Linked DNA regions of Sus scrofa. The protein of the gene in region 7 interacts with the protein of the main gene of each other region in a biochemical or structural test. Links are inferred from orthologs where the notes say so. Each region holds a gene or a part of one and is shown on either strand. Other genes may lie near its edges.

Region 1 (4,782 bases), on a different chromosome or scaffold from region 7:
TCTCTGAAACCGGGCGCACCGTGGCCACTCACCCTGCAGCAGCTCCAGCAGGTTCCCCTTGGGCATGAGTTCTGTGATGATGTACACGGGGTCCCCCAGGGACGCCACGGCGTACAGTGGCAGGATGTGCTTGTGCCGCAGCTTCTTCATGGCCTGGATCTCCGACTGGAATGCGTGCTGGTGCAGGTCGTCTGCGGGGGGAGGCCGCTCAGGAAATGAGTGCCCCCATGACACCCGGGCCCCCCTTCTGACGCAGGGCACACAGCCTGGTCCCCACGGTTTACGTGGGGTCCTCTGTGCCCACCACCTGCCCGCCCAATGCCCTGGGCACCACCAGTACCGTCACTTGGTTCACACCTGGCCCAGCCAGCTGGGGAGCCGGCACTAGCTCCCTGCAGCCCCGGCCCCGGCTCCTGCAGGGGGTGGGCCCCTGGGAGGTTTGCGGGGAACCTCTTCAGATTCCTAGAGACCTATTTTAATGGCGTTCCTTTCATTTACATTAAGAATTTGAAATTCCCTTTTAAGGTAAATGCATTCAGGTGAAAGAAAGCCAGCAGCTGCAGCAGGTGCCCCATGGTCCAAGCCAGGGTGGCGAGTGGGGCTCGGAGCGCAGGGCCCCCCACCCCGGGGCCGAGGCCAGTTGCCCCCGGCCTGGGGCGCACTCACCTCGGGCAATCACCTTAATGGCCACTCGGACCTTGTCCTTCCAGAGCCCTTCAAAGACCTCCCCGAAGTAGCCGGCGCCCAGCTTCCGGCAAAGCGTGAACTCCTCCCTCGGCCTCTCCCAGTCGTCACAGTGGGGCAGGGGCTCGGGCTCATGCTGCAGGGGCACAGGGCCAGCCCTTCAGGGGGGCCCCACTCTAACCCCTGCAGGCGGACAGCCGCTGGCCTGTCCTCAAGTGTGGACCGCCTTCTGCCTGGGATGTGTGGCCCTGGCCCTCCTGGGGGCTGCCCGTGGCCTGGCCAATGCCTGCCAACACACCCCCCCCCACCTGCTCTGGGCCAGTGACATTGGCCTGAGTGCCACTCGTACAGAATTCCCGTCCAGCCCTTGGCCCCAGGCACCCACCAGCCTGGAGACTTAGGGCGTGGCAAGAGCTCCGCTGACCTCTGGCTGGCCCCGGGGACAGTGACTGGGCAAAGGGGGGGCACGTCCCCAGCCCACCCCCAGCTCTGCACAGTCACAGCTCCCAGGCAGCCAGCGTCCCCAGGCTGTGTCCCCAGTCAGTCGGGGTGTCAGGACCCACCCCCACCGCCACCCGAGGGTTCCGGCGCCTGAGGAGAGAGGGCTGAAGCCTGGGGGGGGAGGCAAGGGTCTGGCTGTGGCAGGGGCCCTACCTTCCAGCAGGGCGAGGTCAGCCTCAGGCCGTGGGACAGACTCTGGGCCTTGTGGTGCTCCACGAGTTCGGCCAGGCTGGGGAAGGACACGGCCTCGCTGAGGTGCAGCCGGCTGGCCCGCTGCCAGATCTTGTAGTGCCGCACGGTCTGCCTGTCCCGCACTGGATGGGGGGGCCCGCTCGTGAATGGGCAGAGAGCAGCCCACCCTCGGGGGGGGCGCCCCAACGGCGACCGGAGAGAACCCAGACCGACCCCACCCAACCCACTGAGGGATCAGAGTTCCCCGGGCAGGGCCTGCAGGTCCCAGATGCCCAGGGCAGTGGGGAGCCGGGCCGGGGGTGGGGGGTCTCTGCCTGCAGGAAGGGAGCCCCCAACTCAGGCGCGGGGGCGGGGGGCTGCAGTGGAGGAGGAGTACCCGAGAGGACGTAGTTGGCGCCAGGCTTTTCGCTGGTCCTGACCAGGAAGGCCCCCTGCTCGACGCCTGCGGCCAGCAGCCGGTGTGAGGCTTCTGAGCGAGAGATTGGGCCGCAGAACCACCTGCGAGGTGGGGGGTCCTGAGCCTCGGAGACCTTGGCTGTGCCCCCGCCCTGCCCAACGCTGGCACATGGCTGCCTGCAGACACTCACTGACCCCAAGGTCCCTTCTTTGCCCCTCAACTGACCCCCCAGGGTCCCAAGTGGCCCTGGGGACCCAGAAGTGGACACTACCTGGTGTCTCCTGGCTCTGGGGACAGAGCCACCCCCTTCTGTGGGGACAGCAGCCCCCCAACCTTGGGTGCTGTGCTCTGGCTCCCTGGGACTCACCCACATGCACCCACGCGCACACCCACCCACACGGTGCAGCCACACGCGCCCTTGCTCCCCCGCCCCCAGAGCCGGCACAGGGACAAGCCCTGGACTCCGGAGGGCAGGCTGGGGCCTGCGGTCCTTCCCCGGACACCTCTGCCTCCGTGCTCTGCCCTCTGCACTCCCCACTCCAGGGTCCCGTTAGAACGTGGGCCCCGGGGGAGGGCACGGCCGGCACGGAGCCCGCGGGCCATGCCCACCCCCACTGGTCCAGCACCTCTGGAATCGCTCCCATCCACTCTCCCCGCCAGCCTCCCGCCCCTTCGCACCTCTCGAATGTGCTGAGTCCCCAGGCCTCAGGGCCTTGGCAATGGCTCTGACCCCTGCATTATCACTGCCCAGGGCTTGGCCCGTCCTGTCTGCTGCTCTCTCTTCAGGAGGCGCCCAGTGGAAGGAGCGCACAGGAGGGGATGGGGTGCAATGGGTCTTGGGCACACGGCTGCCCTATGGCCCCGCCCACCAAGAGCCACCTGCCCATGATGGGGCAGCCATGCTGGTACAGGGAGCACGTCCGTGGCCCACACCCAGGGCGGGCGTGTCGCAATGGCCTTCCCGGCTCCTCTGACTAGGCCACCAGTCTGGTTTTGTGTGTTTGGAAGGTGAGTGGAGCTTTGCTCCAACAAAGGCCCAGCCTCGGCCTCGGCTTCCTGTGCAGACCCCTCACTGTCAGCAGGCGGCCCCCTGGGTCCTGACACCAGCAGGTGACTGCGTGGCAGCTGTGGCCTCCCTGGAGATGTCAGAAGCCCAGTGAGGGGTCCCAAGGCCAGGAGGGAAGGTCCAGCCCCACGGAGGGGCACAGGGAAACAAATCCATGGGCCCCATCCTTGGCCAGCTTGGTGCCCCTGTCCCCACCTGGAGCCCAGCCACAGGGGTAGAGTTGTCCCAACAGCCACCCTGCCCTGAGCCCAAGAGGGCCACCTGGAAAGGCTCCAAGGGCCACAGGGACACTCACGGCTCTGACTCCACTGTCTCCTTCTCGGCCAGGTAGCTTTGGGGTACGTAGCCCTCGGCCAGCGCCTGGCCCGCCGTGTCCAGCAGGATGGCCCACCACCACTCCTCCTCCTTCCTGGCCACGTGGAAGAGGTCCCCTGCCCGGAAGCTCAGCTCCTCGGCCGTCCGAGCCTCGAAGTCCCAGAGGCCCATGTACTTGGGGCCCAGGGCAGCCTGGCCCTGGGACCCCATGGCCGGTGCCCTGCCACCTTCACCCGTCCAGCTTCAGGCAGCCCTGGCTGGGAGGAGCCCGTGGGCAGGGCTGACCCTGACAGGCCGTCCCCGCCCCGCTGAGCCGCCACCCACCTTCGTGATGAGGTGGCTGGGCCAGCCACACCTGTGCCACCAAGGATGGCCTCCCCAAGCGCCCTGGGCTCTGCCCTGAGGGCCCCAACAGCCCCCACCCATCCCCCCACGCCTGGGCCAGGTCAGGCTGGGCACTCTTGCCCGCCTGCTGTGGGAAAGCTGCCCAGAGGAGGCTGGTGAGCGCTCAGCCAGGGGGCGAGGCGGGGCTGGAGGACCAGGGCCAAGGCGCTCCGCCCCAGACCTCCCAGGAGACAGCCAGACCCAGGGACAGCCAGCTGGCAGCTGAGTCTCTGCTGGACGCCGAGACAGGCGCTGCCTCTCCTGCTCCTCACCCGCGGCACCTGGCCCCACCCTCCAGCCCCTTGAGGGCTGAGGGGACTTCACATCATACGGCCCCTACTCATTGGCGCTTTCGCTTTTATTGAGCAGCGTGGGGACACCGATCCCTTCACTTTGAGATCAGGAGGGTATGTCTCAGGTTCATGAGTGAAGTGCACAGCCTGCTCAGGTCTGAGCAGGAGGGGCAGGCCCAAGGGGAGGGACAGAAGGGCCGGCTGAGCTGTTCGGCACCCTTGGGCTCCAAGGCCCCCCCACCGCAGTCCACCCTTCACTGTGAGTAGAGTGCTCTGCCCCTCAGGCCTTGGCCCTGCCTGGGAGCCGTGGGCCCACACCAACCAGGAAGCCAGAAGTTTCCAAGGCCAAGGTCCGAGCCCTCCCAGGACACCAGCACCAAACCTGTTGAGCTTGAGCCCATGAGACGGCCCAGGGGTGGAGCAGTGACCGCACCTGTCCTGTCTCCCCGCCCAGGGCATTCTCCCGCCCGCCAGCCCGGCCCCGCACACCATGGTTCCCAGGAAAGAGAGAGCAATCCCTTCCAGTGGTCTGGGAACCGCCCAGAACCAGGCGAGTCTGGCTCCAGCCCTCGCTCTGGGCCCTCCCAGGACAGGACGGAGGCAGGTCGAGGCACAGGCCTAAAGGCTCAGGCCAGACCCTCCCGCCCCCACTGTCCACCCAGGCCAGGGGGATGGTGACCTGTCCCCTCCTGCTCCCCCTGGGCTGCCTCTGCCTATGGTGGCCCCCACCCACCCCTCTGGGAAGCACCCCCCCCAATTTCTCTAACCTGGCACAGACTCTGTTCTCTAAGCAGTCCCTGGGGATTCATTTGTCTGCACCCAAGGGTCCCAGCCCCCTCGGTGCCATCCCATGGGTGAGACCTGCAGTTGTGATGCAGGGCCGACTGGCCCCTGCGGGGTCAGAGCAGACACTCCAGGGAACGATGGGCTGCAGGTGGCCTCTGCCCTCT
Region 2 (4,123 bases), on a different chromosome or scaffold from region 7:
CATAGAGAGAGAAGAAAAATTTCATCTGTCAACGCTGCCACGAGATCAGAAAGTAAAAGAGAATAAACCGGAGCTACTGACACCCCAGGACAGACGGAAAATGAGTCAGGAACCCCTTGCTGCTGCTCCCTCGCCCGTTCGACTAGCTTTGCTCTTTCTGGAATGATCTCTCAGGAGCACCTATCTGTGCGGGTAGGGCAGTCCCAGTCTAGCGACGGTCGGTCGGGGTAAAGTCAGGCTAACAGGGGGAATTCCACGACTTAGTAACTTCTGGAAACTCCCCAAGAGAAGGGTTCATTTTGGTTTTTCGTTTGCTTTGATTTCATCAGCATGAGAACGGTAAATGAAGACTCACCTCCATCATTGCACAACTACAAATGTAATAAAATTCATGGAGCAATTTAAAAAAAAAAAAAAAAAAAAAAAAGGACTCACCTCGGCATGACAGCCCTCGACCGTCGATAATCTGTTTGCAAACCCCGCAGACTCTGGCTTTTTTAAAGGTCTTGTTCTTAAAACTGTGCAGACTCGTCGTGAGTTCTTCCGGCTGGAAAAGGAAAAGGACAAAGGCTCAGCGCTTCCATTCGGTCCACCTGCTCTTCCTTTTTCCGGCGGAGTTGGGGAAGCACCGCAACAGGAACCTGACCAGGCGACCAGAGGAGAACAAAACACCACCCTGCCAAGGCCGGGATCGGGGGCGGGGGGCTCGGGTACCCGAGGGAGGCCCCCAGGCGCCCAGCTTGTAATCCAGGGGGCGAAGGGCAGCCAGGCCTCCGTGACGACGTGCTGCGCTTCCAGACTGTCGCTTACAACCATCCCTTCTGTGACACGCACCCCCACCCCGTGCCCCCGCCCCATCTCCCCCACCCTGTGCCCCCCATCCCCCTTCTTCACACTTTTTCCTCCGGAAGAAACAATTATAAACAACACGATGGTGCTCAGAGGCGGCCGACTGGCCTTTCTGGCCCCTTAGTCCCTCTGAACAGATATACGGAAGGGCGAGTGGTCACCAGTCCGGGGTGACAAGAGAGGCAGTTCCTTCTTAAACCTGGTAGAGCATCGGATCCATTTCACACACTGGCACTGGGAGGAGACGAAACAGTCAGCCACCAAACCCAAGTCTGCTGTGCCAAGGCGCACAGCTGCATCGGAGGAGCTTATAAAAATTCAATCTGCCTTAGAAACCAAACACCAGCCATACTGCCATTAGCTGATGGGTGACAGTGCGCTCATTCTGTGATGACTGGTACGCCATGCATGCACAAGGCCACTGCTCACCCCCAGAGAGTTACAATTCCCCAAGGAGATGGAATGTTACCCAGAACAGGAGACAAACGGCACTTCGGAAAATAGTTTGACAATTTTTTTGTACAGATTTTTAAACCTACACCCATGCTATGACCCAGCAATTCCTCTCTCACAGACACTGAAAAAGAAATATGGGAGTTCCCACTGTGGCTCAGCAGTAATGAACCTGACTAGTATCCATGAGGACTCGGGTTGGATTCCTGGCCCTACTCAGTGGGTTAAGGATACAGCATTGCCAAGAGTTATGGTGTAGGTCACAGATGTGGCTCAGATCTGTGGCAGAGGCTGGCATCTGCAGCTCTGATTTGACCTGGGAACTGCCATATGCCATGGGTGTGGCCCTAAAAAGACAAAATAAAATAAATTTAAAAATAGATAAATAAGGAGTTCCTGTCATGGCGCAGTGGTTAACGAATCTGACTGGGAACCATGAGGTTGTGAGTTCAATCCCTGGCCTTGCTCAGAGGGTTAAGGACCCAGCATTGCCGTGAGCTGTGGTGTAGGTTGCAGATGCAGCTAGGATCCCACATTGCTGTGGCTCTGGCGTAAGCCAGTGGCTACAGCTCCGATTAGACCCCTAGCCTGGGAACCTCCATATGCCGAGGGAGCAGCCCTAGAAAAGGCACAAAGACCAAAAAAAAAAAAAAAAAAAGATAAATAAGAAACATGGCCACAAAGACACCTGCAAAAATCATCAAAGCCACCGTATTTAAAAATGCCCCCAACAAGAGGTAACCCAAATGCCCATCAAAAGGAGCCTGGATAAACAAACCACAGAAGTCATAAAATGGAATGCTTTTCGGGTGTACACAAGAGCAAGTTACTAGTCCATGTAGAACATGTAGCATCGTGGGTGCACATCAAAGGCATTATTTTGCTGAATGAAAGACATCCGACTCAAGAGCACACAGAATGATTTGCTTTACTGGATGTTCATGAACAAGCAAACAAACCTATCTAGAAACTCAGAGGCAGGAAAAAATGAGGTGAGCGCTATAATGGCACCAAATTCCTACCTGGAGAAAGTTTCTGGGATGCAGAGAAGGAAGGGGGAACCAGTGCACAACATGGGTTGAAGCAAAGGAATGAAAAGTTTAGGCAGAATAAGCCAGCAAGAGGTTACTTGCCTGAGCAGCAGGGAACAGATAGCTGCGCAGAACCCAGGATCTGTGGAAGGGCTCAGCACAGTCCTGAGGGGGGTGTGTGTGGGTGTGTGTGTGTGTGTGTGTGTGTGTGTGGGTGTGTGTGCATGCACATGTGCTTGAGGAAGCTACCTAAGGGGGAGGAAAGAACCACCAGAGAGGATTAGCGGAAACAGAGCTCAGGGCTCCCACAGACCTGGGAAGGGTGCCTCTTCCCACACACAGACCAGAAAACCTCAAGATGCAGGGAGTATGAGCACAGAAGACACAGAAGCACCTTGCCTCAATCATGGGAAATGATTAACTCTAACCTGAGCACTGCTCCCGTTCTGCCTGGCCTATCTAGAAGGGATTATACCACCTCCAAGTAATTTAGTTGCATTCCAGAACAAAGCCCAAGAACATCTGGGGAAAAAAGAAACAAAGCCCAAGAATATCTGAGGAACAAAAAAATATCCAGCACCCTAATAAGGTGAAATTCACCTTGTCTGCTATCCAATCAACAAATTATCTGGTATACAATCAAAAAGCAGGAGGCGTACAAGGCCAGAGGAATACACAATCCACAGTGAGAATAATAAATTAATTAAAAATGGCCCTGAACTGACAAGAATAGGCAAACAAGATACTAAGAGAAGAATTATAACTGGATTTCATTTGTTCAAGAAGGTAAGTAGGGATGGAAAGGTATAAAAAGATGCAAACCAGACATCTATACAAGAAATGTAAAATCTGAAATAAAAAAATACACTGGATGCAATTACTGGCAGATTAGACACTGCAGTAGAACAGATGAATGAACTTGAAGATATCACCATAGAAACTTCCCAAAATAAAGGACAGAAAGAGAAAAGACCATCTAAGTAAATTAGGAAATAAACAGAGCATCAGTAAGCAGCCTCTGAAGGAGGACGAGTGGATGGAGGGATATTTGAAGAAATAACAGCTGAAGCTTTTCCAAAATAGGAAGAAGACTATAAAATCACAAGCCTGGGAAACTCAACAAACCTCAAGCATAACAAATGTGATAAACTATACCAAAATGCAAGATAATCACATTGCTCAAATCCAATCACAAACAAACCCATATACAAAACAGAAACAGACTCACAGACTAGAAAACAAACTTATGGTTGTCAAAGGAGAAAGGGACGGGGGATAAATTAGGAGTTGGGGATTAAGATATACACACTACTATACATAAAACTGATAAGCAACAAAGATTTACACTATAGCACAGGGAACTATACTCCATACCTTATAATAACCTATAATGGAAAATAATCTGAAAAAACAATATATATAAAGAGGAAAAGAACACATTATATTCAAGAGACCAACCATTAGCATAACAGCAGATTTCTTATTCAAAAAAAAGAAAAGTTAAGGAAGAAAGAGAAAAAACAGTGCAACAAGATAAAATACTGAGGAAAAAAAATGCCAATCTAAAATTCTGCACCCAGTAAAATATATTTCAAAAATGAAAGCAAATTAAAAATTTCTTAAGATATATAAAAGCTGGAGTTCCCTTTGTGGCTCAGCGGTTAACAAACCCGACTAGGATCCATGAGGATATGGGTTCGATCCCTGGCCTTGCTCAGTGGGTTGAGGATCCAGCGTTGCTGTGAGCTGCAGTGCAGTTAACAGACACGGCTTGGATCCCATGTTGCTGT
Region 3 (4,123 bases), on a different chromosome or scaffold from region 7:
TAGTTAATTGGCAGAGATTGGATGCATGATAATATCTGGCGTTGGTAAGGGTGTGGAAAAAACAGGCACTGTCATTCACCGGTGGGAGTGCAAATTGGCGTGACCTTTCCAGAACGCAATTTGGCAACGTGTGAAGCCAAGGGAGACGGCGTGCGCTTCTGACACAGCAATTCCACTTTTAGGAAGACGGCCTTAGGAAATAACCGTGCAGAATAATAATAGCCAGCCTGTATTAAATGTTCGGTGCCTGCCAGGCTCTACATGCCTTATCTCATACGCTCCTCACAGCCGTCATCTCATGAGGTCAGGGCTGCTTTTGAATCACTTGTGGGTTTTTTTTTTTTTTTTTTTTAAACAGATGAACAAATGAGGCCCCAAGGGATTAAGACAATGATGCAAAGACACAGAGCTAAGGAGTAGCAAAGTCTGGATTTGAACCCAGGCACTCTGAGTCAGGAGCTTCCATGCCCGCACAGCCGCATACACTGAACATGTGCAAAGGATAGTGTGCACGGGTTATTTACCCTGGATGAGGCTGCAAGGAGGGTCCAAGAGACTCGTTTGGAAGGGGGAAGGGGTGGCAAGGAAGGGGAGAATGTCAGCTGAAGGCCCCACCATAGGAACTGGTTACATAAATTATGATGCACCCATATGGGAATAGTATGCAACCCTGAAAAGGCTACAGAGGAAAAAATGTCAATACTAGCGGGGTTTGTCTAGGCATCGAAGATCTCTGAAGGGGTAGAAAAGAAAACCGGTTGCCTCCTGGAAAGGCGGCCATGTGGCTACAGTCACAAGTCAGGAGACTTGTTTTTAAGCCATATGTACCCTTTTTCACTTCTTGAATTTGAACCATGTGACTATGTTATCTGTTAAAATTCTCTCTCTAAATACATACGTTGTAGAACTTGTTTCCCCCATAACTATTTCCTTGAGATGCTACTAAGGGTTCCCCCCAAAAGCTCCGAGACCTCAACTTGGAGTCAGGCTGAAGTCCATCAAGACAGTTGAGTCTGTCCCCACATGTTCCCCCAACTGACAGGCTTTTTCTCAAGTCATCATTTCTGGACAGGGATGTCCTATCGAAGTTGAGGAGACATTAATACTGAATATGCCAACTTGAAAGGCTTGCAGTGTTTCATTAAATGAAAGGAGCACGTTACTGGCTTAAAAATAGGCGTGTGTGTGGGGGGGGGGTATTCTGCTTGTGAGACCTGGGATAACGGGTGGCTTTGTTTTCTTTTATCCATCCATGTTCCTAAGGTTTCTAAAATGAACAAAGTCACTTCGCAAGTACTGTATTTTGAGTCTACGTATACTTTTAAGCTTTGGGAGCCCCTTCTCCCCACACCCCCCACTCTCATCACCTCCCCACTCCAAGCAGCAGCACTGGGTTTGGCTCAGGGAGGGGCCCGCAATCCAGAGCCGGGCCCTCTGTCCTGTTTTCATCCAGAGCTAGTTTGGGCTGTTGCTCTGGGCTGCTGGGGGAAGCACCAGGGGCCTAGATGGGGCCAGTCGGTCCTCAGACACCCCCCTGGCCACAGCTTCACCTCGGCCCTCTGTTCCTTAAAGAGAGGCTTCAGGGCTGCAGAGGCAGATGCCAGCCTGTCCTGAGCCGGTACATCGCAAATCCCGACACTTGGGCATTGTTCCCGGCTCTGTGGTTGCCTGTGTGACCCTGGCCAAGTTTCTTGACCTCTTTGGAGTCTCCTCTTCACCCTCCTGTCAGCAGGGACATCTGCCTTCCAGAGCTCAGGGACCAAGGGAGAGCATGGGAGGGCCCCGGGCACCCCCCTCGAGGCCGTCCCGGGGGAGGGCACCATCGCACCCTGCCGTCACCTTTCCAGGAACCGAGCACTTTTTCTTCCTGTTTTTAGGTTGCTGGGGGATAGGGAGCAGGAGGTGAAGCAGGAGGTGAAGCAGGGGAAAGCAGGGCACATGGAAACAGAACGGTGTTCGAGTGGGAGAAGCCCCTTAGCTCGGCATCTGCAGCCCTGCAGCCCTGCAGCCCTGCCTGGGCCTCGCCCACCAGTGTAGCCCAGGCTCCGTCCCCGCCCAGCCACCCCGCTTCACCCCTTCAAGGCAGCCCCCCCTCCTCCAGACCACACGTGATTCTCCTAAACTGCAGCGCTGACCCTGCCGAGCCCGGCCCCCTCCCTTCCCCTTCTGGCCCAGCCTTCAGCTCTTAGCGGAGCGAGCGCTTCTGTCCAGCCTAGGCTGGGGCCACTCCTCAGGGCGTCAGCAGCCCCCCGCCTCCATCAGCCACGCTGTGGTGTCAGTGCCGGGGTCCAACGCCCCTGCCAGACTGAACTTCCTGAGGGCAGGACCCGTGGCTGTATCCCCTGGGCCCAGCAGAGGCTTAGGGTCTTGGGCAGGGGTTAGATCGTGAGTGCCGTAGTCACGGAGACCTGGGTTTGAATCCCAGCTCCATCACCTTGGGGAAGTGGCTTCACCATGCCGGGCCACAGTTTTCCCCATCTGGAAATGGGTTTGATCATCGCAGGGAACTCTGAGCGTTATTTTATCGGCTCAGGTAGAGAGCGCCCCGGGTACCATTTGAGGCATGAGGGAACCCACAACCCCAGGCTTAGGGAGGTACCCACCCCGACATCATCACAGACGCTCTGCAAAGGCTTGCCGATCTAGACTAGGAAAGGACGGCAAAAGGGGGGCCCCCAGGCTCCCCCCTTCACCTCCCCCAAGACAGTGGACCTGCCTCAGCTGCTCATGCTTGGCACTGCCCCCCGCCACCACGCTCACCTCCCGCCTTGTACCCCCACAGCCACCCGGCCCAAGCTGAAGAAGATGAAGAGCCAGACGGGACAGGTGGGCGAGAAACAATCGCTCAAGTGCGAGGCAGCAGCCGGGAACCCCCAGCCCTCCTACCGCTGGTTCAAGGACGGCAAGGAGCTCAACCGCAGCCGCGACATTCGCATCAAGTACGGCAACGGCAGGTGAGCAATGTCCCTCCGTCCCCCCCATCCAGCCGCCCTCCTCCTTCCTGGGAGGGGCCTGAGAGGGAAGAGCCCAGGCTGTGCCCCCAGATCCACCCCGGAGCCTGTCCCAGTCAGTACCCCCTCATCTCCACGCCCCGTTTCTCCTGGCAGCTCCAGTCCCTCAGGGGACATTGGCCCCGTGTCTTGCAGGCGGTCATTGCTTCATTCATGTCCCGGGATGGTTGGAGGCGATGATGTCATTTTTAACTGTGGAGGTCCCCCTCTTATCCCCAAAACCTCTCCGAGGACCTGCCAGTGTCTCAGAGCCCCACTGGGCAGCCTTTGGGGAAGGACTCGGACTCCAGAATGTTTCTGGGAGGTCACATATGAGGAGAGGCTCAGCAGGCGGTCAGGGGGCAGAGAGCCAGGTTAAGGGGGAAGGGCCATGGCTTTGGTGCCAGCAGAGTCTGTGTCTCAGACAACCCCGCACCCTGGCACAGGAATCCTCCTCCTCTTTGCTGGCTGGGGGAGCGTGGCCCGCCGTCTGCTCCCTGGGCCCCGACTTCCCTCTCTGGCTGGGCACCCCCAGCCTTTCCTGCCCCTGTAGAGGAGCTGTCATTTCCTCAACCCCCCCAAAATGCAAATGAAGATTTTAGAGGACCCCACCCCCACTGCCACCACCTGCCCCACGTCAGCAAGGGATGGAAAGGTGGTCTGGGCTCAGGCTGCTCCCGGTTTGCCGTGTGGCCCGAAGCGCACCCACCCTGCCCTGAGCCTCAGTCTCCCGAAACTTTAGAAGAGGGGCTGGGGAGGTGCTTCCAGGTTGACTCGTTCCAGTAACGGGGAGCAAAAACAGGACTGGTCACCCTGGAGGGCAGTCTAGGCAAAAACAAAGTCATTTAAGAAGGGTCTGCTTGTGCTCAAAGGCTTGTGGCTGAAAGACTGCTGCTTTGTCAGGGAGACCGGCAGGTGGGGGCCCCAGTCTACAGAGTTCGCAAGAAATGCAGGCTGCCCATCGAGCTCCCCTCCCGAGCCGCCTCACCCCTTCCGGCCAAGGCTCCAAGGCCCGGAGAGAAGAGCGGACAGGCTTCCGGAGCCGTGGGGGCGCGTCTCCCTCCCGCCACTTGGCTGGGACAGCAGAGATCAGGGCAGGGTTTGTCTTCGCCTCAGTCGAGGACGTGGGGCGT
Region 4 (4,851 bases), on a different chromosome or scaffold from region 7:
TTTAGGCTGTGCATTCTTAGCTTACCTTCCAGACCCAGTGATGGAGATGAGTCCAAAAAACTGCATTTTAACAGTATCCTAGCCACGCTTCGGGCACACTAAGACTTACAAGCCAGTTAATTATTATTTGTCCTTCTACTTCATTCATTGGGAAGAAACGATGGAGAAATCAGGAGGGGAGGGAGGTGGTCAGCTTTTCGAGCCCCCCAGCACTTCTCCCTGGGCCCCATCCCCTAAATGATTCTCCCAGGTGGGGTCTGTTCTCAGAGCAGCTGTAAGTTGGGAGAGATGACCAGTTGTGTTTCACAACCTGACCTTCCCTGGAGCAGTCCCCTGGCACCTCCCACAGGCTCTGCCCACCAGTCAGTACCATCAACATCTCACATGCCACAGTGATCTCCTCCTGCCTTGCCACAGCCTGCGAGGCCAGACTTCTATGACAGCCCTTACAACAACCAAGGTATTTCCCAAATGACTCTAGCTGGGCAAACACCTATAAATGTTTTTGCATTAATGCACCGTGGGGCACCTCCTGGCTTTCTCTTGTCAACAGTAAACACTCACTGTTTCACCCAGAAGGAAACGGAGCCACATCTAAGTGCAATTTATGGCAGAAAGCAAACGAGTGATACTTAGCACTGAGTCAAATTATCAGAAGCTGGAAGGGACAGTGAGAGTTCATTAAGCCCCCACCCTTCCGGGCCAGAGAGAATGATGCTCAAAATCTCCCCACTAAGAGGTGGTCTCTTATTCAGTTCTTTGGGCAATCTAATCCTTGTCTCAATCCTCACCTTTACTTATTTTATATATAGCTGAATCCTTCCTGTCATCATTTACAGCCTTTTCTCTAGCTCTGACCTCAGGAGTTGGCTTTTCATGGAAAGGTTCTTATTATTAAGTCACTGCTCATCTTTGTTCTTATTAAGTCCTGCTGTTGGAGTATGGGCGGACAGGGCTTGCTGTGTCTTAGCTCTTTCTGCTCGGTTTGCCTTATATTTCTGTTTACAGGCAGCCCTATCTTTATTCATGTGTGGATCCAGAGTGTAAGCTCTAATTCAGGCAAGTACAAGTGGAAGAGCCTGCTTTATTTTTTGCAATAAATAAAAATTGGGTCTGATGAGGTGGTGAGGCTTAAACAGATGACATTTAAAAATTGCAATAAATTTTCCCTAACGCCACTTAAAAATCAGAACTGCAAAAACTTTTCTCAGCTGGCCTTGATGGCTTTAGTCTGACATGACTGAGCTTTGATGAAGCTTGGTCCCAGCGAGTCATTCAGAATTAGAATCAGTCTTTTTCTTCCCAATTTTAACTTATTTGCACGATAAAGCTCTCTGAATCACAGAGGTACACTGATAAGCATTTCTAAAAATTGTACAGGTGACTGAAGAGTCTTCCAAAGCAGCTCCAAAATTAAGCTCATGAAGGACCTGTCATGTTTAACGCATTGTTTCTCTATAAGATCTTGCTGCTGGGTTGGCCAAAAGAGTCCCCATTGTGCAGGTGGGGACCTGCTATAAAAGAAGTCACCAAAGGTGACCCACTAAGGTCGCAGCACATTCCCAACGAGAACTTGGTCTCCAAGACTTCCGCCCTCAGTTCTTTATATGAAATATTCTAAATACAAATCTTTTCCGATAGATCGCATTTCTATATACAAGTAGATTTAAGGGCACTATATCTCATTGTATCGTGCGTTCTTAATGCTGACCCTTTTCTAAAAGGACATCCCCACTATGTATGGTTCTTTCAATAACAATCAAAACCCTGTCGCAACATCTGGGGAAATGATCTTCCAAGTTTCATCATTTCTGGCATTCAAGAGTCAGCGCTGTGCCCAGAAGAAGCCCAGAAGATCAAGCACGGGGCCGCCTTACTTACAGGTGGAGAGAATCATGGCTGCACTTGCGCGGGGAGCAGACAGAACAGCCCTCAGGTCTTCGGCGGCGCTCCCGTCACAAAAACACATCTTTTAACTGAAATCATAGCTCGCCCAAGATGTTTCTCATGGGCCAAGTTAACCCCACCTATTTTCCTGTTCTGAAAACCTCAGAGAAGTGTGTGAATGGCAGCCCGATGGCCTATTTAAGAGGTAAACGCAGTAATCTCCATCCAGATCTCTGAAGGCAGCAGCTAGCAGGCTCCTCATTCCCAACTGTGTGGGTGACTCCAGCAACACCGTTTTCAAGAAATCACCAGATTTTGGTCAAAAGGGACCTTAAAAAAAAGAGCATGAATTCAAAGTGCTCTCTCTGGACCGAGAAGGAAACGGAGGCACAGATAGGTTAAGAGACGCAGTTAGCGGCAGAGACAGAAGTCGATGCTAGGTTTGGAATCGGCAAGTCTAGAATGCTCTGTCTTCCCACCCTCCTGTCCCCCCACCCAGCAGTAACACTTTAGGCATCATAGGAGAAAAGTTTGCTGGGGAGGGCGGGGAGGAGGGAGGACCAATCCATCCCCAGGTGACAGGGGCGTGGCCGAGAAATACAAAACATTATCAACAATAAAAATACACATAGGAGTTTCACTTCATCCCACTGAAAAATAACCAGAAAGTAACGAAAACTAAAGGCAACAGCTGTACTGAAGACACAGCAGATTCACAGTGCCCTTCCTACTTCCTGCCTTATTGATTAAGATCTCTTTTAAGCACTCTGGGTGGATACTATTTTTACTTCTCCTTTTGCCATAGCAATGGTTTTATACAAACACTTTTTTTCAGGTCCCAGTGAAATATTTGAAGATGTTTGAAGAAAATGTTTCCAAACATTGCCAGGAAACATCTGATCTTGTTTTCCCATCAAAAGTATATATAACTGGACTTGCCTGGTGGTCTAGCGGTTAACAATCCAACTTTGTCACTGCTGTGGCTCACGTTGCTGCTGTGGTGCGAGTACGATCCTTGGCCTAGAACTCCCACAGGCTATGGGGGGTGTCCAAAAAAAAAAAAAAAAAGTATAGGTAGGAGTTCCTGTTGTGGCTCAGCAGTGATGAACCCGACTCGTATCCCATGAGGATGTGGGTTCCATCCCTGGCCTCGTTCAGTGGGTTAAGGATCCGGCATTGCTGCCAGCTGTGGTGTAATTTGCAGATTCGGGTGGGATCTGGCGTTGCCATGAGCTGAGGCATAGGCCAGCAGCTGCAGCTCCAATTCAACCCCTAGCCTGGGAACTTCCATGTGCTGTAGGTGCAGCCCTAAGAAGCAAAAAAAAAAAAAAAAAAAAAAAATTAAAGGTAACTGTTAGGTCAAGGGCTATGCTTTCTCCTCTCTCTTCAAAGCCTCCAGCACTTTAAACAGGGTCCCAAGGTTGGAAGGGAAGGATGGTTGGAGGAGCGGGAGGCGTCAAGGTGATGGAGGGAGGGAAGGAGAAAAGTAGGACAATGACAGCAGGACACAGCTCGCACAGGGCCAGCTCCTTGAATGAGCAGCAATTCAGTGAGAAGGTGGGCATGTTTTTGTGATGGGGGTACACTTCAACAGGAAGACGAGGAGGAAGGTGACAGACTGTGACAAGACTTAGGATACATTTTTTTTTTTTTTTCTACTGCAAGGGGGGACAGGGAAGGACAGAAGACAGCCTTCAGGGGATGAACTGACCAGAATGGAAAGATGATTTTCCACAGTCATGTGAAGGTCCTGCTCGAAAGAGCCAGCCACAGCTTGTGTTCCTCAAAAGGTTTTGATTTTCTATAAATGCAGCATGTATACTTTTTTTTTTTTTTTTTTTTTTTTTTTTTTTGGCCATTTAAGCATTGATTGAAGGAAATGGCTCTGGTAGCACTGCTCCAGTATTCAGGCCAATGCAATCAACAAAAGAGGTAGATGGTCATTCACCTTGACGTTGCCTGCCCTCACCTCTAAATCCTCAGTGTAAACTAAGGAAAAGGACCGAGTTCCTGTCGTGGCGCAGCAGAAACGAATCCGACTAGGAACCATGAGGTTGCGGATTCGATGCCTGGCCTTGCTCAGTGGGTTAAGGATCTGGTGTTGCCGTGAGCTGTGGTGTGCATCACAAATGTGGCTCAGATCTGGCGTTGCTGTGGCTCTGGTGTAGGCTGGTGGCTACAGCTCCGATTGGACCCCTAGCCTGGGAACCTCCATATGCCATGGGTGCGGCCTTAAAAAGGGCAAAAAAAAAAAAAAAAAAGACGGAAAAAAAAAAAGGAAAAGGGAACGTCACCCTAGAGGACATGCTGTCTGCGTCCCAACAACCTGGTGTGTAACAGAGGAACCCCTCCCTTGTTAATGAGGCTTGAAGATGGTACAGGAAGTGGCCTTGAGTATGTCACATAAAAAAAAGGAAATCCAGTGTGGAGGCCTCAGTTCATTCTTGGAAAGCAAGAGCTGTAATAAATCCTGTGGGATCAAGTCCTGCTGTACCCAGCTTTCTTTGGGTCCCACATAAATGGATAAGACTCTCAGTGCTTCAAACACAGCCCACAGAGCTGCCTTTTTGATGTACTAAGGCCTGCAGGGAGTCTTGGAGGAAATAGGCAGCCAGGGAATAGTATTTGTGCTACCCTGAGGCCAGGCACCCATGTTCTGGCTTGTTCCTTGCTGGGGAGCCAGGGGGTTAAATTCCTGAACCCAGCTTTGCCCCCCTGTGGGCTGTTTCCTTGGCGCACTGTGGTTTAGCCACCTTAGCTGTTCCTGGGGGATGCTCGGTAGGATGCTGTTGACCAAAACAACCTGCTACTGGTCATTAAGTAGCTTTTTCACCTAAGAACTACTTATGGTGTTCACACAACACCCCACAGCGTGGCCGGGGAGGGGGGTTCATGGCCTCCAGAGCAAATGAACTTTTAGGGAAAAGTCCCATGTCTTCCTGGGCTTTCTACACCCACAAAACC
Region 5 (4,584 bases), on a different chromosome or scaffold from region 7:
GCACCTCCAGGCGATGGCAGCACTGATAGCCTGGGAGAGCTAAACAGTTAAGCTAAAAATGGGTTTACAGGAAAAGGTTGAGAATTCCTGGCCTATTCTGTTCCTATGCCTCTAAAATCTCTATCTAAGACATTCCATCCAAATTCATCTTATGCCTATATCCACAAAATACATTATATAATCCTAAACAAAAAGCTTATTTCCCACATTCAATCTGCCAAAAAAGGTTATTAAAAGCCTCAGCATCACTGACTTTAGACAGCAGATGCCATCTTCTTTCTTTCTTTTTCTTTTTTTTTTTTTTTGCTTTTTAGAGCTGCAACCGCAGCATATGGAAGTTCCCAGGCTAGGGGTTCTAATTGGAGCTATAGCTGCCGGCCTACGCCACAGCCACGTGGGATCGGAGCCACCTCTGCGACCCACACCACAGTTCATGGCAACGCCAGATGCCCAGCTCACTGAGCAAGGCCAGGGACTGAACCCAAATCCTCATAGATACCACTGCACCACAACGGGAACTCTTGAAGGCCATTTTCTTGTCATCCTTTCCTTTTGGTCTTTAAGCAGAACCTGGGACCCAAGACAATGACAAAAGTGTTCAGTCCTCAAGGGATCTCAAAAGGAAACTGGCTTTGACAAAAAAAAGAACACAGTCCAATAGTGTCTGATCTCAGGTCACAATTCCTAGGTTCCAATTCCGGCTCAGTCATTGACTAGCTGTGTGACCTGGGGCAAGTTACTGAATTTCTGACCCTGTTTCTTTACCTGCAAAATGGAATTTTGCTTTGTTTTGTTTGCTTTTTAGGGCTGCACCCCCAGCATAGGAAGTTCCCAGACTAGGGGTCAAATCAGAGCTGTAGCCACTGGCCTATGCCACAGCCACTGCAACTAGGGATCTGAGTCACAAATAAGACCTACTCCACAGCTCATGGCAAAGCCAGACCCTTAACCCACTGAGCAAGGCCAGATATCAAACTTGCATCCTCATGGATACCAGTAGGGTTTGTAATCCACTTAGCCACAACTGGAACTCCCTAAAATGTAAATATTTTAATAAATGGAAATCACAGTAATTTCCTCACTAGACTGTCATAGACAGTAAACGAGACAAGGCACTAAAGTACTCAGCAAAGTACCTGGCACAGAATGACCAGTCGATAAATGTTAGCTATTAATATTGTATATGCTTAAGTTCAAGAAATTCTTCTGTGTGGTTTCCAAAGAAAAAGAGCTCAATGGGGGCTGGGCAGAACAAAGATTAAGTAATCTTTAAAAAGACGCAACTGAATCAATTGCCCTATGTGGAAAATGGGTACATGGCGGAAAGAACAATTACAATAGCCATGAACTTTCCACACCCCATCCACAAACTCTGGCAATCTTCACCTTCTCTCTTGGGCCAAGGATCTGACCTCCTATCTGTTATGAAAAGGTGGAGCTCAGTATTAAGGTAAGATCTGAGATTAAAGTTCTAACACCAAGATGTGGGGAAAGCTCAAACAAAACTGCCTGCCATTTCCAAATTTTGTAACCAACAAAACACATACACAAACAAAAGGTCAAGAATTGAGTTCCAATGATCATTTGCTGTGTCACTGCCCAGCAACGCAAAACCCCAGACACTAGGAAGGTGGTAAAAACTCGAATACATCCGGTTTAGGGTAAATACATGTTACATACCTATTCCCATCTCAGGTTATAATGTTATAAAACCAATCAGACTGAGAAAGACCTAGGATAATTTGTGGGCTTAAAGATTCCACACTCTTTTTAAAATTGGTATGTGTTAACAAGAGAAACTATTTCATCTTCCCATTTCGGGTCAGAGGGGATAAATCTAAATTAGGATTATTCTAAAAGGGCAAGTCTGCAAAGGGCTAGTTCAGGAGACTTTCAATTCATGTGAGACTAGCCTGAATCTAGTTTCAACTGGTCAGGAGGAAACTGCTTCAGCTTGGTGAGCGTGAAAAGGCACTAAGACCCTAGGTGCTGTTACACAGGTAACAACAGCCTCAGAATTACTCTGTACCTCACAAACTTCAAGTACCAAGTGCATAAATCCTCTTCACACTCCCCAAACAGCCCATGTTATGTATAAGACAGACATATCTAGGAAAATTCAGGCAACAACCCCCAACCTACTGAGCAAGGAGAGACCCTGCAGTATAAGACTGACAATGCTGAAGTCCAAGGAAAAATGAAGTTCCATTCACTTTCAGGGAAGGGATTGTTTCCATTGGCGTATATCTGGTTTATTTCCTGAAAAAAAAAAAAATTCTTTCCTCCACTATTCGCTTTGAAAACTACAACCCCTTAATTGTCAAAGACAGTCGCTGGACACCAGGATCTCCTCGGCACAGTCAGCCGGGCATCAGCTTATTCTGGGCTGGTGACAGGGGACCTTTCTTCTATAACCAAGGCACTTAGCTCACCACCTTCGTCCTCCGCGGGGGAAGAGGACGGTAAAAGTATTTTGGAAAAATGCCCAAGAAAGGAAAAAGCTGACCGGTTTCCTGAGGGTGTCTCCATCCCTCCCGGCCGGTATGCGGTGACTTCCTACCAAAGGCCACCAGGGGAGTATAGCCAAACCCGGCTCTCCAACACTGCAGGAAATGTTTCAAGCCTAAAAAGCCACTTGTAGGATTATCGGATTCATTCCGGGCACCGCTGCCAAGTGATGCCCCCGCAGTGCCAACATCCCCCTCAGCTCTTTGTCCCCACGTTGCCTGGCCCTGCACGGGCGCTAGCCCCACCCTGGGGCCGAAACAGTTCCCCTTCCCCTGGGCTGTCCTCCCAAGTCACACCCAGAGGCCTGGGTCAGCGGCTCCTCCTCCCCCACACACTCCCGCTCGTCCGTGGGAGCGAGCCGGACAGCGGGCTGCCCTCCGGCCACGGTCACTCCAGCCCGCTGCCCAAGTCCCTCGTGGGGGTCAGCTCTCGAGGAGCAGCCGGCTAGGCTGGGGAGTTCGGCGGCCCTAACCCCCGCCCGGGGCCTCCCGTCCCTTCCGTCCCTCACCGGGCGGAGGCTGGGCGGGCGACGGTGGCACTGGCGGGCGCGGGCCGCTGCTGTTGATGATGTAGTGGGAGACGCGCGAGTTCTCGGAGACGCTGAGCACATAGTCCCCGGGGCTGGTGCTCGAGTCCCGCACCAGGAACACCCCGTGCCGCTGGCCCTGCAACAGCGCCACCGCCTCCTGCCGGCTCAGCCGCCCCCAGTACCAGCTACTCCGCTCCTCCGAGTCGAAGTTGCCCGCCATGGCCGACTCCGCGCCTACACGCTGGGCCGCCGCCGCCGCGCGCGCCCCTCCAGTCCCGGCGCCCGCCGCCCAGCGGACCGGCTCGGGTCTCCGCTTCACAGCAGCGCCTGAAATGGCGGCGGCGGCCGCGGGCCTTCCCCACCGGAAATGACGTACTCCCTGCCTCCGGGAGGATGCCGGGAAGGGGACTGCCGCCCGCCATTGGGAGAAGGGCAAGGGGCGGCTCGCGCGCTCACTGCGCATGCGGACTCTTGGGCGTCGCCGCCTGGTGGGGACAGGGACTGCAGAGAGTGGAGAGGCGGCGTCTAGGGCCGAGGGGCGGGGCCTCAACTAGCAGTCCGCAGAAGTTTGTCTGTGCGCTGTTGGCCACGCGGTTCTGGCTAGTCCAGGCTTCAATTTCCTGGAAGGCCCGGTGCTTCTGGGCAGCAACTAGGAGACAGAATTGGAGTAGAAAAGGTGATGTGGCCTCAGGGCCTGAGTTCCCTGAGACGAATATTTTCTGAATATTTTCAGATCTGTTAAGCTCTTGTTTTCACTGATTCATTCAGCAAACAGTTGACACCACGTTTGCCTTTCGGTCGCAGAGGTCATCTAGGCTGGGCCCTTCCCTCGGGGAATTCTCAGACCCCGTGGGAGGAACCAGGAAACAGGCCATGACGAAGGGATGCCAAGCCATTTGATGGGGGTAAGGACAAGGGGCTCTAGGAACATAGAGCAGGGCCCCCTAATCCATGCTTTAGAGGAACCCAAGAGTACTTCCCAGTGGCTTGAGCTGAATATTGAATGGCAGTTGGGGAAAAGCATTCAAGACAAAGGGACCAGAGTGTGCCAAGTCAAGGAGACATATGGAGTCCTCTCTGTTGAGGCTTTCAAGTCATCTGCCCAGATTCTCTAAGTCTGGCCTTGGATATCCTCTACTCTCCCTGCCGTCACGATCACTGCTATCTCTATATTCCATATCTATATCTGTATTCCTATGACAGCCTGTCTCTGGTATTCTATAGTCTTGCTGCCCCTAATTGCATAGCACACATCTGCCAAGTTGTATTTTTCTCAATTATAGCTCTGAGTGTGCTGCTACCCTGTGTAAAACTTTTAACAGTCTCCAGGTGTTAGAACTCCCAGGTTATCTCTCTTATGGTTCTACCTGTTGTATTACCCATTGTATTGTAATCTTTCGATTTACAAGTCCGTGTTCCATGCTAGATCTCCTCAAAGGCTAGGCATCAAGTGTAGGAGGCACTCCATAATTGCCTCATAAGAATAACTAACACTTATTTAGGGAATTTTACCTGCCAGGCATAGTGCTAACTGCCCTTAGGTAGGT
Region 6 (4,656 bases), about 130 kb from region 7:
ATATTAAAGGAGCCTCGGGGAGGATTGGCTGCGCAAGGAAAAACATAGACCACCAGGGGGAGCCTCAGGTCCCAATTTTCCTCTATCTGGGAGAATGCGCTAAGAAGGCGCTAAGATTTTTCTCTCCTAGACCTGACACAGTGGAAAAAGAACCAAAGGTTTTTGGAATTCGGCGGACGAAAGTATGAAATCTGGCTCATCACTTCTTTTCTCGACAGTTCTTAAATATGATTGCATCTTGCAGACGAGAAAACGAAGTTATATAAAAAGCAGTGCCTAGCACACAGCAGGCAGTTTCCTCCTGTTCTCCAATTTCTCTAACCTGCATCTTTATTTCTGATTTAGATTCCTCATCTTTCATGCATTATCCAGCTTGGTCAAGGTCTCTGGAGAAAGTCGCACTCACACGGGAGACAATAGACACACACCCACATCCTTTGGAAGTAATGGAATTGGGGCACAGAGAACAACATTTGCATTAGTCCCTCACAGTTTGATCAGTTTTTTTTTTTTTTTTTTTTTTTTTTTTTTTTTTTTTTTTTTTTTTTTTTTTTTTTTTTTTCGGCATATTCCAGGAATGGCTGAGCCACCAGAGCAGCACGCAATCGAGGCGTTGCACCACCTCACCAGTTTGCAAAGGAATCAGTTTCTAATGGACACAGTTTCTAATGCACTTATCTCACTAGATCTCAGGGTCCCCCCTGAGGGCTGAAGAAGCCCTAATCTGTAGTTTCCTTTGAGACTTGTTTCATAATCAACAAAAGGTAGCTAGCTCTGTAAAGTGTATAAACCAATCACATATAAACAATGTACATACATGTGTATTACTATTTGCTTAGAGAATATCCATAATAAATACTGCTTAATATCAGATTAGCCTAAGAGGCTATATGATTGTAATGCTTTGGTTTGCTTAATCAATCCCTTACCTTCTCCTAGAGGGCTTTAGACTCCACCTTGACTTTCCTTGGAGCTCAGGTTCTCTCCCTCCCACACCCCCAGCCACGGTGTTGTACCCTAAGGAAATCAAACCACAACCCCAGAAGAGGAGCATTTTATCTCCCTCTCTCCCCTTAGGTGTTTCAAGGAACTGTACGAGCGTTCGGAAGGTCGACGTAAATACCGCAGGAGTGTAGCTAGGAGAGGCAGGCAACCCGCTGAGCACCCTAGATCAAAGTTTTCCGATCAGACACTCCCTCATTCCCCACCCCGTGGTCGCCTTGTTGACTACAGTATCCATTCCCATGACTATGAGTCATAAGATCGGCTCCGGGATGCTGACCACAGCTCTGGAAACGGGAGAGGGGCCGGGCAGACGGCAGGTCACACTGCAGGCCGGCCTCCTAGCGACGATCTCGCACCAAGCCGCATCAGCTTTAGGGCACGGAACCGGTGCACCCTTCGAAATAGAAGTCTCGCGCTCCGGGAGAGTCGGCCTCCAGCTCGGCCCCCGACTTTCAAGCACGGAAGAACATAGAGTCCTTCCTCCCAAATGGCTATACAGTTCTCGCTGGGACCATAAAGACTTCCGGTGTGGAACGGAGGCCTGGCTAGCCCTCACTCTCCTCGTTGGCCGCTCGTGGTTTCTAGCCCAAGGCTGAGTTAAACAAAGGGGCGGGGCTTGGTGACGAGTTTCCGCCAGGTTGCGTAGCAGCGGTGGGCGGGGCCAAGGCTCAGTCTCACAAGGCGACGAGTGGTCGGAACCTTATCCCCTCTCCTTCTCCTTCCCCTTCCCCTTCCCCTCCCAGGATAGGCTGGCACCCGGCACCAGGGTTATCCCGTGGCTGCTGCGGCCTCAACTCCAACGGGTCGGGGCACGGAGAGTCCAGACCGCTTCCAGGGCGGTGCGTACGGCGCCTGCGCAGGCTCCCACCTAAAGGAGGGCGTGGGAGGGGAGGGGGCGATGTCCCAGGGGGATTGGGACCGGGGTTCGAGATTTTGGAGGTCAGGCGAAGGGACGGGAGTAAAGATGAAAAATGGAGGAAGGGAGGAGTCCAGAGGTGGTAAAGGAGCGCTGGAGGGTGCCTTGTTGGGGAGGCCCATTGGAGTGTGGGAGCCTTAAGAAGTACGAGAGGGGGCCTAGGCCGGCTGGAGGACCGGGGGGGGGGGCCGGGATTTGGGTGCACAACGTGGTATTTAAATGGACAGTGATTGACGGGCCGGAAGGGTAAGCAGGGAACCATCTGGGGGACAGCCTGCGCAGGGGCGGTGGAACCTGAACCCCCGCCCTCGAAGCGCCATAGCTTGGCTCCTCTCCCATGCCTTGTCTTTGGCAGCCTTGTCTTCCTCCTCCATTCCTTTCCCCTCTCTCCCTCCCACCCCTCCATGAAGGAATCTCACATTCCTTACATCCGTGACTTGAGTTTGCAGCCAGTCCCTCTTCGCGGGCTTCACACACCAGAAAGCCTTCTCCAAGCCAAAGCGTAAGAGAAATTGAGGAGTGAGGAGGAGGGGGCTGGAGAAGGAGCAGAAAGCTGAGAGGGGTGAGGGTGTTTGGCATTGGGACAGACAGACATCTTCCCCATTCAGAAAGTAACTTCATTCCACCTGGTAGCAAATGTGGCTGTTAATGAGACCACTGAGCCACTGTCCTTAGGGACCGGGCTGTGATAGTGATAGTCTAATCCCTTTCTATACAGGTGGTTTTAGTCTGACAATAGAACAAGAAGCTGATAGTGTTGCAGGCTGATAGTTTTCCCCTAGTTAGGAATGGGGTAAGACTCATGGAGGGAATCTGAGTGTTGCAGTAATATTACTGCCCTGTGTGTCCAGCCGACTTTGCGGCTGTGGCGGGTTCCCAGTATTGGGGAAGAAAGTTTCTTTCAGGCATTTCCTCCTGGGCCTCATGGGCCGTCTGAATTTACTTGGCATTCTATTACTGCAGATATCTTACCTGAGAATAAGTGGTATTCAGTTTCCTTTCACATTTATTATGTCATTTGACAATATGTAAGGTAGGTAAGGCAGATATCATTTTCCCTATTTGAGAAGTGAAGAAATTGCAAACTACAGAAGTGTTACATGGCTTGTTAAAAGTCGTATAGCTGGCAGAGCTGGGACCAGAACCCAAGTCTTCTGACTCTTGGTCCTCCTCTTAATTGAAAAATCCTGTTTTGTTCTGGTCAGGGGAGCAGTAGAATAGGATTGGTTTTCCCAGGATTGGTTTTCCCAGGGTGGATAACTTTGCTTTCTGAGTCTGGGCCTTGTCACGACTAGACAACAGCACAGGTTCCTGGAGACATTTCTCGAGGTACAGGTCTATATGCCAGGCTGCTGGGAAATAGGTTCTCGCCAAAATGGAAGCAGTATTATACTGTCCTCTGTATTATGGAGGGGGAGAGGCATATCAGCTTCCCCCTTACCCCCAGCTGCAGGGCAGAGAAAAATGAATCTGGCATTGCACCTTTATCTCTCTGATTTTATTTATTTATTTATTTATTTTTTAGGTCCGCACCCATATGGACGTTCTCAGGCTAGGGATAGAATCGAGGCTGCAGCAGCCAGCCTATGCCACAGCCACATGAGATCCAAGCTGCATCTTCGACCTGCAGGATCTGAGCTGTGTCTGCGACCTACACCACAGCTCACTGCAAAGCTGGATCCTTAACCCACTGAGCAAGGCCAGAGATCGAGCCTGCGTCCTCATGGTTACTAGTCAGATTGGTTTCTGCTGAGCCACAACAGGAATTCCTCTGACTGGTTTTAAAACACCACACTAACATGTTATGGCTGATGAGCATGTATACCAGACTTAAGATGAAATGGTCTGTTTTATGCATAAAAATTGTTATCTTGGAGTTCCCTGGTGACCTAGCAGTTAGGAATTCAGTGTTGTCACTGCTCTGGCTCAGGTTCGATCCCAGGCTTCTGCACGCCTCGGGTGTGGCTGAAGGAAAAAAATCATCATTCTGTTCCTTCCTAATTTAGCCCTTCATCTTGAAAGATGTAAAGGTGAGGAAAGGAATGTAAATAGTTTCTAGTCTCCTGCATCTGAAGCCTTGTCTCTCTCTTCTTGGTTTCATCCTTTTAGTAAGGAGAGTCTGGTTAGCCAAATCATACTGCTACCTACAGTCTTCCCAGTTGTCTACCCTGCAATAATTTCCTGATTTTTTTTTTTTTTTTTTTGAAATCTTGATCCCTCTCAGGAGTATTTCCTGACTTAGAAAGTAGAATGGCACCTGTGCCAACATTCTTGAGTATCTTCTTATGAAGTAGTGTTTTCCAGGTGGAGAGTAGGACAGAATTCTTTTTATATGAAATAATGTATGGGAAAGCACTTTGGAAACATTAAAGCATCATGGCTCTGTGTGTTGTATAGCCAAAGATTTGGACTCCTTGACTTGACTTGTAGTCGTGTGCCCTGAACAAAAGAATGGTTTTCTATCTCAAACAGCTCCTTTTCCCTCCCTTTCTTCTTGTCTCTTTCTCGCCCCCTCTCAGCTTTGTTTAAAACATCTGGCCCCTGCGTGTGATTCCTTAGCTGATGAACTCTCTCCTTAGAGGGTAGCCCTGAAACCTCTAGTCCCTAATGGACTTGTCTCTTTCTCTTCAACCGACCCCCAGATCCAAGTCTGTCTCATCTCATTGCCAAGTGCAGGTAGTTCTCCTGACTCACCTTTTCTTCCTTGTTCCTATTAATAGAGCGCTCCTGATTGT
Region 7 (2,785 bases):
CCTGGGGCCTTGCCCTCCGAGGGCCTCGCACGCCGGAATCGCCAAGCACGCTGGGAAGGGTCAGGCTCCGGCGGGAAGGCGGAGCCGTTGGAGAGCATGAGGGGAAGCGTGGTCTCTCCCGGAAAAACCATATCCACCAGGAGCGCTGAGCGAGAACCCGTAATAGAGGGAGGCGGGCTAAGGGAGAAGGGGGCGGAGCTACGGCGGGGACGTGGGTTTGGAGGCTGCGGGGCAGGGTGGAGCAGAGACGAGTGGGGGTGATTGTATCAAGGGCGGGGAGGCTGGGTACGCCCTTCCTCGGATCCCTGGAGCGGCAGGCGGACCGGCCTGGCCAGTCCGATCGTCCTCAGGTGCTGGGAGGGGCAGAGCGAGTGTGGAAGGAGACCCGGAGTGCGTGGAGCAGGGACTAACTGGGCACCAGATTTCTGTGGGATTATCCATGTACAGCCTTCCAAGTCTAGAGGCCGGCTCCCTCTGAAGATGGCACTATTGTTCCAACAACAGGCTTTGATGGCACCTAAGACGGACACTTTTTTTTAAAGTTGTGAAACGTTTGAGAGTTTCAGTATTCTACCTCTTGGGGCCTTTTCTAACTGCCCCAAACGTGTTTTGTTTGGTTGTTTTGTTACTCCCAGTTAGTCGGTTGCCCTATACAGATTCCTAGTAAAACGCTTAAATGAAAAGGACTGTACCCTTTGCTTGTCTAAAGAGACTATAAGGAAAGTGGGGCTGGAGAAAGCTACAGGGGGCCAAGTAGGACTGTGGGGAGACAGAGAAGGAAGCATGCCATGGTAGCCATTCTCTGCTGTGGAACGGAGAAAAGGGCTGATCTGTCCACTCACTAAAGTTTGTCGTTAGACAAGAAGCTGCAAAACCTTGGCATCTTTATTCAGACATGTATAAAAACAAAACAAAAACTTGAGGGATAAAAACAGATACTCCCAGTTTCCCATTCAAAGGAACTGAGGTCTGAAGCCGGGTCCTCTTTTTCATCTCCACTGGAAGCTTCCCACTACTGAATGAGAACTGCTCCTAAAAAATGGCTCTGGGGACCGTCTGAGTCTGTCCCTTAGGCAGATATCATATGTAGCACACGAAGATTACGGTTTACACAGAGATGTCCAGTTATTTTTCCTTCTGTCCACCCCCTTACTCCCACTTGCTGAGATGAGCAGTCCAGGTGTAGGAGGAGGCTGTGGATATTGGGGTTAGACTTGATTCAGTGCAAACACAAGAAGACAATACCTCTTACTAGTGCTCTGACTTTCATCAGTTTTCTTTGACACCTTACACTAAGAGCATGGTGCATTGGAAAATTTTGAATCCTGGACCTGCTACTTGATTTACTTAATCTCCTTAAGGCTCAGTTTCCTTATTTGTAAAATGGGATAATGCCTAGCTCACAGAATTGGTGTCAAGGATTAAGTGAGATGGGTAAGTTTAGATGATACTTGGCACACAGTCAACGTTCAATGAACAGTAATCATTACTATATACTCCCAACCTCTTTCTTCACAAGATTTTTAAGCATCTCATTCTTTCTAGGGGGTTAAGAATCATAAGCCAAAAATCTCACTTTCTCCTGCCATTTTCCCTCCTTTCCTCTTCCTTAAAAGTCTGCTGGGAAACAAAGTCACACTTTAAAGCCTAGTCTCAACAAGTCAGAGTCTGAGAGAAAGGGATATGGGGAGGAATCCTTCATATCTCCAGGGAGTTCCCCTGAGAAAGTTGAGGAATAGGATTGGGAAAGAGCACAAAATAAGGAAAACTATCTCCTTTCCTGGGATTGGGAAAGAGAAGAAAGTGCACAGCTGGCTATATACCACAAGAACGTTGTGTCAACACGTTTAAGGCCTCCAAAGTTTGAATGGAATTGTCTGGGACTAGGGAAATGGCGCTGAGACCTGTGAGGGAGAGGGGCTAAAGAGAAGAGGGGTACCCTCTAGAGGCACTAGCTGCCATCAAATGCTCCCTGAGGTATTCAGGAAGCAGAGGTTATGTTCTCTGGGCATTAGCCTTGGGGAAAAGCCTGCTATGCCAGTAATCCGGGTTATCAAAGGCGGAGTCAGTGGCTTCTAAACTACGTAGAGTTTTGAGGCGGGCATAATGGACCTGAGGGCCATGGTGTCCAGGCCCCTGGAAAGCTCTCATTTCTTCATACCCTTGCTCAGCTGCTGGGCAGGCCTCCATGGCTGCATAATCCCCCCCAGGACCCCCTCCACCACGTCGCCGATTCATATATTCATAGTCCTCATCTGGAGTTGTGCTGGCATTGGGCATGGTGGGCACAGGGTTGAGTGGGCAACTCTGTGTGCTGCCCAGGGAAGCACTGAGGTCTGATCCCACATCCATGTACTCATAACCCAGCTCCTCGAGGGAACTTGGCCTTGGGGGACGAGCTGGACTGCACCTTCTCCTCCGGTTCATGTATTCATACTCCTCATCTTCTTCTTCTTCCTCGGTCCCCAGGACAGAACTGAGACCGACTGAAGAAAGGGTGCCTTCCCGGGAGGAGGTACCTGGGGGGTTGAGAAGAGCAGCTAAGTATGTGGAGAACTCCATGGAAAGAGGCAATGGGGTTGGGGGCGGTTAGGAAAAAAATGAATAGGGAGGGATATGATGAACGAAGACAAAAGGATTAAGGGGAGCCTGCAGAAGGAGGAGTAGAGAAAGATTTGAGGAAGCGACTAGGGAGTCAGGCACCTTTGAGGTGTGCGTCTGGCATGACATAACCATTGACATCCTCTTCCTCTAACCCTGGTGGGGACTGTGGGGTGACAGGAGT

Evidence for each region.
Region 1: the proteins of ERBB3 (region 7) and PTK6 form a complex in vitro, tested with the Homo sapiens proteins (2 studies listed by BioGRID and IntAct, with this or other methods). The link is inferred for Sus scrofa from reciprocal best matches to the Homo sapiens genes ERBB3 and PTK6.
Region 2: the proteins of ERBB3 (region 7) and TNS3 form a complex in vitro, tested with the Homo sapiens proteins (2 studies listed by BioGRID and IntAct, with this or other methods). The link is inferred for Sus scrofa from reciprocal best matches to the Homo sapiens genes ERBB3 and TNS3.
Region 3: the proteins of ERBB3 (region 7) and NRG2 form a complex in vitro, tested with the Homo sapiens proteins (2 studies listed by BioGRID). The link is inferred for Sus scrofa from reciprocal best matches to the Homo sapiens genes ERBB3 and NRG2.
Region 4: the proteins of ERBB3 (region 7) and TXK form a complex in vitro, tested with the Homo sapiens proteins (2 studies listed by BioGRID and IntAct, with this or other methods). The link is inferred for Sus scrofa from reciprocal best matches to the Homo sapiens genes ERBB3 and TXK.
Region 5: the proteins of ERBB3 (region 7) and CRK form a complex in vitro, tested with the Homo sapiens proteins (2 studies listed by BioGRID and IntAct, with this or other methods). The link is inferred for Sus scrofa from reciprocal best matches to the Homo sapiens genes ERBB3 and CRK.
Region 6: the proteins of ERBB3 (region 7) and RNF41 form a complex in vitro, tested with the Homo sapiens proteins (2 studies listed by BioGRID). The link is inferred for Sus scrofa from reciprocal best matches to the Homo sapiens genes ERBB3 and RNF41.

Annotation. Positions count from the first base shown.
Region 1 is NC_010459.5:62,543,307-62,548,088, forward strand, and holds the start of PTK6 (protein-tyrosine kinase 6), read right to left. Parts: upstream 3,130-4,782; 5' UTR 2,148-3,129; coding exon 1,754-2,147; intron 1,500-1,753; coding exon 1,339-1,499; intron 821-1,338; coding exon 667-820; intron 192-666; coding exon 33-191; intron 1-32. UniProt on the Homo sapiens protein: Non-receptor tyrosine-protein kinase implicated in the regulation of a variety of signaling pathways that control the differentiation and maintenance of normal epithelia, as well as tumor growth.
Region 2 is NC_010460.4:49,003,223-49,007,345, reverse strand, and holds part of TNS3 (tensin-3), read right to left. Parts: intron 548-4,123; coding exon 436-547; intron 1-435. UniProt on the Homo sapiens protein: May act as a protein phosphatase and/or a lipid phosphatase. Involved in the dissociation of the integrin-tensin-actin complex. EGF activates TNS4 and down-regulates TNS3 which results in capping the tail of ITGB1.
Region 3 is NC_010444.4:141,695,858-141,699,980, reverse strand, and holds part of NRG2 (pro-neuregulin-2, membrane-bound isoform), read left to right. Parts: intron 1-2,782; coding exon 2,783-2,954; intron 2,955-4,123. UniProt on the Homo sapiens protein: Direct ligand for ERBB3 and ERBB4 tyrosine kinase receptors. Concomitantly recruits ERBB1 and ERBB2 coreceptors, resulting in ligand-stimulated tyrosine phosphorylation and activation of the ERBB receptors.
Region 4 is NC_010450.4:38,044,956-38,049,806, forward strand, and holds the start of TXK (tyrosine-protein kinase TXK), read right to left. Parts: upstream 2,922-4,851; 5' UTR 1,970-2,921; coding exon 1,882-1,969; intron 1-1,881. UniProt on the Homo sapiens protein: Non-receptor tyrosine kinase that plays a redundant role with ITK in regulation of the adaptive immune response. Regulates the development, function and differentiation of conventional T-cells and nonconventional NKT-cells.
Region 5 is NC_010454.4:47,682,223-47,686,806, forward strand, and holds the start of CRK (adapter molecule crk), read right to left. Parts: upstream 2,975-4,584; 5' UTR 2,210-2,974; coding exon 2,143-2,209; intron 1-2,142. Other genes in the region: uncharacterized protein LOC110255905, read right to left, coding at 3,490-3,686. UniProt on the Homo sapiens protein: Involved in cell branching and adhesion mediated by BCAR1-CRK-RAPGEF1 signaling and activation of RAP1.
Region 6 is NC_010447.5:21,621,579-21,626,234, reverse strand, and holds the start of RNF41 (E3 ubiquitin-protein ligase NRDP1), read left to right. Parts: upstream 1-1,645; 5' UTR 1,646-1,844; intron 1,845-2,113; exon of another isoform or gene 2,114-2,423; intron 2,424-4,641; 5' UTR 4,642-4,656. UniProt on the Homo sapiens protein: Acts as E3 ubiquitin-protein ligase and regulates the degradation of target proteins. Polyubiquitinates MYD88. Negatively regulates MYD88-dependent production of pro-inflammatory cytokines.
Region 7 is NC_010447.5:21,493,123-21,495,907, reverse strand, and holds the end of ERBB3 (receptor tyrosine-protein kinase erbB-3), read right to left. Parts: coding exon 2,704-2,785; intron 2,520-2,703; coding exon 1,996-2,519; 3' UTR 868-1,995; downstream 1-867. UniProt on the Homo sapiens protein: Tyrosine-protein kinase that plays an essential role as cell surface receptor for neuregulins.